Linked DNA regions of Cricetulus griseus. The protein of the gene in region 1 interacts with the protein of each later gene in a pairwise test. Links are inferred from orthologs where the notes say so. Each region holds a gene or a part of one and is shown on either strand. Other genes may lie near its edges.

Region 1 (4,123 bases):
GAAGATCTCTAAAACTAGAATTGTAGAAGTTAGGAGTCAAATAGAACTGAGTTTACATGCCAGATTAACCATTTGCTCTGTAGTTTACGAAGATATGTCACTTAACTTTTTAACATTCTGACCTATAAAATAAGGAATCACGTCTAGCTTGTCAGCACTCAATGTAGCTGACTGCTTTTGGACAGAGGCTGACACATGCTGGACCACCAACAAGCAAGCAGTAAAAAAGCTGATTCCAAGGCTAACTCAATCCCTATCAGGTATTTTCCTAAGTGATGTGTGCTAATATCCAGTTAAGTCTTCTGCCCTCAGCTCCAGTCTAATTTTGTTTTTAAAGCCGGCTTCAGTAATGTTGTAGCTGGGTTTGGAGCTGATAAAGACAATACTACTCTTTTGTTCCAGAGACTAGACACACAAAAGAGGCCATTCAGAGTAGTAGCAACTCTCCTTCAGTCCATGACTGCCTTCAGCCTGAGGCCCCGCTGAGGCATTCTATCAAGCCAGTGGCCTCTTCATCTCAGTTTGTAGCTCCTTACACCTCACCTTGCCTAGCTCCAAGCCCCTTCCATTATCTCTCCACTGGTTCTGGTCTAAGAGCAAGCCAAGAACAGGGTGCCCAGGGTTTCTCCTGATCAAGAAGAAACACACTGCTTTAGAATGCTGGGCAATCTTCCTTTTCATCAGAAAAGGCTGAAAGGGGAAGACAAAGCAGGCTGTAGCAAAGAAGCAAGTAAGGAGGATATATACTGTGGTGGGTATCCACACGTCAGTTTACTTTTGCCATTTTTAGTTATATGGCCTTGGACAGGTGACCTCCTAAGCCTTAGTTTCATGTGCAACACAGGACATAATAAAGCATATTTAGCAGGACTGTTATTAGTTTTTACAGGAGTACACTCTGAGCACCTACTGAGCACTAGACAGTAAGCCCCCTGATTGATTTCACTGGTCCTCACAACAATCTTATGATGTAGATCCCAAAAAAGCTAGTGCACTGAGAGGTCAAGTCACTCTTTAAAGACTAAAGCAGGAAGAGAAAGAGCCAGGATTCGAACTCAGAATATCTGACTCTGAAGCCAGGTCCCTCCATTTGCATTTCTGGCTAGGTAACTGTTGGGGTTGTTATCTAGAAACTAACAACCGCCACACCCCCCTCAACTGGATGGGACAATGCACCCATCCAGACACTGTCAAATGTTTTCTGGCAGAAGAAAATCACCCCTGACTGAGAACCAAGGCTTTAGATTATGACATAGTTAGGCTAAATATTCAGCACATGTGAGGCTCTCCCTTGCTCCCCAGACATTGTTTTGTTTCTCTCCCAGCCCTAACACTTCATTTACAGAACCACTACCTCTTTGTGCCATAGCTGGTCTTCTAAAATAAGATAAAGTCAGGTTCAAGATCATTTGACTCAATACCTTGGAGGGCTTAAACATCTCTTACAGCTTGGGGGCACAGGGAAAGGGACAGATAGCAGAAGACCTTGGGTAGTTTCTGGCTTCATTCCCTTCCTCTCCCTCTCTTCTTCCACAAGGCCTATAATGTTAGGTCTGCGTGGAGTAGGTTAAGCTAGTCAGTGTCAGTGAGAATGCTATGTCTGTCTCAGGATCAAAGGGCTTTTAGTACAAGGAAGACTCTGCCCTTCAGAGAATGTCAAACTCTCCTTCAGGATCTCTCAAGACTCGTGACTTTATTCCCAAACCTCTGCATTCTCCTAAATTCCATTCATTCATACATAGTTTATTTGTACATTACTTTCAGGTTCCTGGGTCTCCCAAACACCTTCTGGGTTCAATTATGCAGAGACCAAAAACAAACAAACAAAGCCTCCTTTAGTAGCCTAAGAACCAATTCACAAACTACAATCTAGTCACAACATTCAGTCCCCACCATTCAATCCTCTACAAACCCCATTCCCAACCCTCAATCCCAAATCTAGAATTCAGCCTTCTAGACTGTATGTTGCAACCTTGCATTTCACCAATTGCTTTTGGGTCCCTGTTACACCCTTTATTCAATCTATTTTCAAATTTCCACATCTGTCACTCCTGTATGCCAGCTCCAAACTCCAACACTGTACCTCAGATTTCTAGCCTCCTTCAATCCGGGCCCTCATCTGCATCTCCCTGACTTGCACAGTGCCACCCCCACCCTCACCCACCCTAGTCTTGCCTCACGTGTTGCCTTCAAGCCTTTGCTTGCGATTTGCTAACTGGATACTGATTTCCTTGGGAACTCACCCCTCAAATCTCTCCCAGATTCTACTACAGAATTGCCTTTTTCTTCAGCAATTAGATTTTTTCCAAGACCCTGACTGTTTTGACCTCAGATCTTGCTCCCATTCCACCATCTCCTCAAAGCCTCTGAGCTTCTGCCCACCAACCCCCAACCTATCTCATCCATGCCTCCCAAATTCCTTTCTATTTCTGATATTCTGCACCCAGATCCCTCCAGGGACTCCAGATACCCCCGATCTCCCACATGCTTTACGCCGTCTTTCCGCTCAGCCCCCACATTACCTCATACCTCCCGAGATGCTGCAACTGCAAATCTCCTCAGCCCCTTTGCTCCCCTCCCCCAGCTGCATCTCAACCCCACCGAATCTCTCCCAAGCCCGTCCCTCCCCCATCCAGTCCTGCCACTCCGATCCAGTCCCCAAATCCTGCCATTCAATCTTGGAGCCCCGCGACCCACCACAGTCCCTGGTCGCAGACCCTCCTTCCCTCCCCCTACCTGACCGCCCGCGGCTCCGACGCGAGTCCACCGCAGCCAGCCCACCCGCCCGCCGCCCTTTGCGCATGCGCCAGCGCGCACTTCCCACGTCGGGTGCCAATTCGCAGGAATGCCTGTCCATCACCGTGCTCCGCCTCCCCGAGGCATGCTGGGGCTTGTAGGCCCGCGGGCCCAGAGCTCTTGGCCCTGCTGAAGAGGTAGGGGGTGACTCTGGAAACCTAGGACACCGCGGTGTGTGATCCAGTTTTCTGCCTGTCTCAGAGTCGAAATTTACCCGGTCAGTAAATGCTAATCTCCCAGTAGTAGTCTACAGAAAGTCCGGGCACCTAGCTGGAACGCCTCTTTGTACCTCAGTTCAGGAAGACAACACACTCCTTTCAAAGAGCTGGTCCTGGAGCTAGGTAATTTTGCCTGTGACACATCCCTCTGCCTAGTCACTGAACACACTGCATTTAGGAAGTAGTATCCTGGAGGCGAGCAGCCGAGGTAGAAACGGGCAAAGCCCTGCACTGAACCTTGTCTTGCGGGAGGTTTTGTGGCCCACTGACTAGCCAGGACTTGCTGCAGATAGTTTGGGGACAGGTAATGCCTGCTCCAGGACGTGAACACGCATTACTAGTTAGGAGTCTGAAGGAATCTAAGATATTATGTCTCCATATTTAAAATTCCACCAAGCTGTGTGCCCCCAGCACAACGTTAAGACAATAAACAAAAACAGTAATATCTTTGAGCACTTTCTGACTAACTACAGCTAAGCACTTTACAGGCTTAGTCCAGCCCTCATAACAGCCCTGAGATAAAGAAACTGAGGGTTAGATGCCAAAACAACCTGTCAGAACCTGGGTTTCAATACCACTGTTAGAAAGCACCCTTAACCTTGTTTTAATCTTTCTATTTCTTTATCTCTAAGTAAAGTCAAGGGTTGTTGTGATGATTGATTGAAGTTGTGTGTGATTCACACTTTATTAACGTTAACTTTAAGTTAAAATAGATTACAATCAACTGGGCATAGTGGCACAATCTTGACAACCTAGCACTTGGGAGAATGAGCAAGGAGAAGTAACAGTGTAAAGGCAGCTTGGGCCCTATTCTAGTTTGCTGTGTACTGCTCTGTCAATGACCATGGCTAAAAACAATTTGGAGAGGACAGGGTTTATCTGCTTTACACATCCTAATCCCAGACCATCATTGAGGGAAGCCAAGGCAGAAACTCATGAAGGCCAGGAACTTGGAGACAGGAACAAAAGCAGAGATCAAAGGAATGCTGTTTATAGCTTGCTCATTAGGTTTGTGGTCACCTACCTTTCTCCTAGGACTATCTGCCTAGGGGTGGCACTGCCCATATCAATCATAAATCAGGGAAATGCCCCCACAGACTTGCCCAAAG
Region 2 (4,185 bases), on another chromosome or scaffold:
AAATGACTTAGCTATAAATGCTCCTGCCATCAAAGCTGACCACCTGAGTTTAATCCACAGGACCCACATGGTGGAAGGAGAGAACCAATTCCTTAAAGACTGTCCTCTGACCTTCATGTGTGTGCGTGTGTGTGTGTGTGTGTGTGTGTGTGTGTGCGTGTGCGTGTGCGTGTGTGCACGTGCGTGCATGCGTGCGTGCGTGCGTGCGTGCGTGCGTGCGTGCGTGCGTGCGTGCGTGTGTGTGTGTGTGTGTGTGTGTGTGTGCGTGTGTGTGTGTGTGTGAGCTGGTATAGTCCCAGCTACTCAGGAGGCTGAGGAAGGAAGAACACTTGACCCCAGGAGTTTTAGGACAGTGAGGCTAGCTCAGAGAGAACCCCCCACCCAAAACAAACACACACACACACACACACACACACACACGCACAAGAAGGCGGCAAGGGACATGACAGGGATATCCATTAGCCTTGTAACTCCCCAAATAGTATGAAACTGTAGTTGGGGAACCATTTAGAAGCAACGTGAGTGACGGACGTTCCATACCGAGAGTTTCATGATGTTCATTCTGGTCTTCTGGGGGAGGGTGTCCACCAGCTTCTTCAACTGGATCCCTGAGTTTTGCAGGTCTGAGCCAGGGTTGTAAAACTTCAGGGCTGCCTCATAACTGGACTCTGAGCCCATGAAGAGGAACTCAAGGACTTGAAAAAATCCTGGGCAGGTGTCTGAAGAAGCTGGGGTGCGGGCAAAAGAAAGCACATGGACCAGCTTCTCTAAAAGCTGGCCAGCACCCTGCTGGACCAGTCAGTCTGGTCAGCAAGACATAGCAGCCTTTGGGTGATGGAACAGAATGGTGGGGCTCCAAGTGTGGAAATCTGGTACCATGTGAACACTTTCTAGGTTACAGCCAGCTTTTGCCTTTCCTGAGCCGCCTTTCCGTTCCTGACTTGGGTTGGCCACGGTTTTTGTCATCTTTCTAGACACAGTGGGTAACAGAAGCTGCCAGCCTGGCTGTTTGCTGCAGCATGGGGACTGGGAGGAGGCCTCTGGGAGCCTTGCTTTCTATCAGAATGCTCCTACCCACAGCTAGTGGTGGTCTGTGCCATGAGTTACTGAGGGCGTACGGCACAGCCCTTATGCGAATCCAGCGTGGTCCCCAAACCTGGCCTGGAAGATGGAAGCACATATGTATTCTAGTCTGATGGCACAGTCAGTTTGCAGACAAGCCTCTCATCTCACCATGTTCCCTGCAAGGGGGTGCTGTTTGGATTGTGCTATCTCCTGGGATTTCCTACCCTGTTTGCCTCCATCTTCTAACCTAGCCTCAGATTTCCTGCCCTGGAATTCTCTGCATTGTGTGCAAATTTGGCCTCACTGCTTTGACTCAGGACCTGACCCCTATTCCAGTGGCCACTCCAGTAGCTCACATTTGTTACATAACTCATAGCACTGGGCAGGCTAAGGCAGGATGACTGTGAATTCAGACCAAAATGAGACCCTGTCTCAAAACCAAAACACTGGTCACTCCAACTTAAAACTTTCTCCATAATGTCACCAGGCAGGGTGTTTCATTTTCCAGGGGCTCAGTTTTCTAATCTGTAAAATGGGAACAACATCTCTGCTTCATTGGGTTGTTATGAAAATGAAAGGGATAGTCTGTAAAATGGCTGAGCGCAGTGACTAGCACGTTGTAAGTAGCATTAACTAGTTTTACTGTCAGAGTTTTAATATGTGAACACATTGCTATGCAAATATCTTGCCAGTCCACCCCTTCACATGTTTTAGCCCTGTCTTGCTGAGCCACCCACCTCTGTGCACAGCACCGATATCTAATTAATAAACATTTTAATCCAAAATGATGTCATTTCCCCTGAAAACAAAAAAGTGTTCAATAAAAACAGCCACTCCCATTTTGCCTTGATTTGGGGTCTAAATCTCCTTGGTCATAAAGCCTGTATCCACGGACATTATGAACCTTTTCAAAGACATTAATTAGGGTTTGTTTTTAGGAAAATAATACAGCATTATCAGAGAGGAGAGGGGGAAACTGATGGTGGGAGAAGTTTTCCCAACCTCATTTCCGAAGCACAAAATTTGTGGAGGGAGATAGATTGCCCTTCCCTACCTCCCTCCCTCCCTCCCTTCTTTCCTTCTGTTCCTTCCTCCCTCTTTCATTTCTCACTCCTTTCTTCACAGTGATAGCAACAACTATCCTCAGAGGCCTCTGATCCTTTTTTCCAGAGGACAGAATGTTTAGAAAACTCCACCCAGGATTGGCAGTTTCCCAAAGGGAAGATCTCTTTCTGGAATATTCCTTTCCTCCCAGAGCAAGAGACTTGGCCTTGGGTTAGAGGGCAAGAGTCTCTGTACTTTCCCTTCCAGACTGACTGCCAGAGTTGGGTGGGGACGCCCCCTAACCTGGAGGCTGTTTCAAGAGCTCTTGGCATCTTGAGCCACTGGGCTTCAAAGGGTTCCTTATCCCTACTCCATTTTTGGGTAGATGTACTGGTTTAGATGGGCACTCCTTATCTCCTGTCCAGGCCTCCCTGGTCCCTGCAGTGCCAGGGTTCAGGATTTGGAAGGTGTGATTCTAAACTTTCTAATAGCTCAACACTTCCCCCCAAGATCACAGAATAGTGTTGGTCATCAGACTCAACATTTCTGAGAGTCATCATACCCAGGCCCTCCAGGTAGCCATAGAGGGACTGGCCACTTCCTTCTGTCTTTGGGAGAGGGACCCTGGGCTCTCACCTGAGATGCAGCAGATGGATAGCATGGCAACAGTGATTGTGATGGCAATCTTCATGGTGGAATCTGGGAGTCTTGGCTGTCTCTGGATGTGGGGTGGTATTGTAGTGTGTGTGAGTGTGTGAGGGTATCAGGTGGCCTTTTATATGTTCCAGGAAGCCCATAAGAGGTAGGGGGCAGGGCTTGGGTACCACTTAGGATACTGCATTATTTACTTGGTTACCTTCTCTGTGGAATAAGTAAATAATCTCTTTTCTTAAATCCAGTTTCTGTTCCCATTGAAACTGAGCTCACACAACAAGACACTTTTGGGGTGTCCATGCAGTGGGGGGAGCCCAAGTCAGAGGTTGTGGGGATCTGGACACCTGTGTCCTCTTTTTGAAGTCAAGCACTGGGTACCCCAGGCTCTAGGAAGCAACTGTAGACTTGCCAACCTTGGCAAACCAGAGACTGGCAGCAAAGACCCAGGACTCTAAAATGTCACTGCGCTCCTTCTATTGCCTCCCTCCAAGGAAAGTGGCTTGACTTTTTTTTTTCTTTTCTTTTCTTTTTTTTTTTTTGGTTTTTCAAGACAGGGTTTCTCTGTGTAGCTTTGGAGTGGCTTGACTTTAAGCCACAAAGCTCACTTGATTCTTGGGTGTCATTGGTCAGGTTAGATTCTGTATACAGTAGATGTGGACAAATGAAGACTTCTCCATAGTATACATCAGAGACCTAGGCCCAGATCAGGCTTGGTCTGTTCCTACCCAGCCCCATCCTTCTGATGGCCAGTTGAGGGGCACCTTCAGTCTTTATCTGACTTGACCTCTTCCTGGCCTTTACCCTATAGCCTCCTCCCTTTTGCTCCATTCTCTCCCAGGGCCTCCCACACTCTGCATTTTCCTGTTTTCCTTCCTTGGCTATTCTTTCTTGATGTTGACAGTTCTCAAGTGTTAGTAGTTCCCAGGCTTTAACCTTAGCCTCCTTGCTTCCCATGCTCTCTGTTTACTCTTTTACATCTCCAGTGCTCTTGTTGACTTAGCATGGAACCTCGCTTGGTTGAAATCCACATCTTCTGTCTTTGCTTCCCAGCCTTTCCCATTTCCACAAATCCTATTCAGACTTCCAGGTTGCCTCAAGTGTTCATCCATCCACCCAGTCAATAGATACCCGGTACCCACTATGGTGTGGTGGGGCTGGGAATTGGGGAAGACCTGGAGAGGAGTTTAAAGGGCCCACTCATGATCTTCCTGCCTAGTGGCTGTGAGGAATGTGGATATCTGAGAGCCTTCAGCTTCCAGTAACTGCAGGGTCTGCCCCTGCTACAGAGGTTGCCTTGCTTAAGGTCCCACCTTCCCCAGGGCCATTTGCATCGAATGATACAACAGAAAGGGGATTTAAAGCTGTGAGAATTTTGGTTTGCCTGTTTCCCAGTGACTCTGGGCCATTAGGATGCACTTTTCT

Evidence for each region.
Region 2: the proteins of E3 ubiquitin-protein ligase TRIM32 (region 1) and Scgb1a1 interact in binary tests that used the Homo sapiens proteins (3 or more experiments, as listed by UniProt). The two-hybrid records come from large-scale screens. The link is inferred for Cricetulus griseus from reciprocal best matches to the Homo sapiens genes TRIM32 and SCGB1A1.

Annotation. Positions count from the first base shown.
Region 1 is NC_048595.1:80,217,887-80,222,009, forward strand, and holds the start of E3 ubiquitin-protein ligase TRIM32, read right to left. Parts: upstream 2,801-4,123; 5' UTR 2,737-2,800; intron 1-2,736. UniProt on the Homo sapiens protein: E3 ubiquitin ligase that plays a role in various biological processes including neural stem cell differentiation, innate immunity, inflammatory resonse and autophagy.
Region 2 is NC_048596.1:51,011,227-51,015,411, reverse strand, and holds the start of Scgb1a1 (uteroglobin), read right to left. Parts: upstream 2,801-4,185; coding exon 2,746-2,800; intron 729-2,745; coding exon 541-728; intron 1-540. UniProt on the Homo sapiens protein: Binds phosphatidylcholine, phosphatidylinositol, polychlorinated biphenyls (PCB) and weakly progesterone, potent inhibitor of phospholipase A2.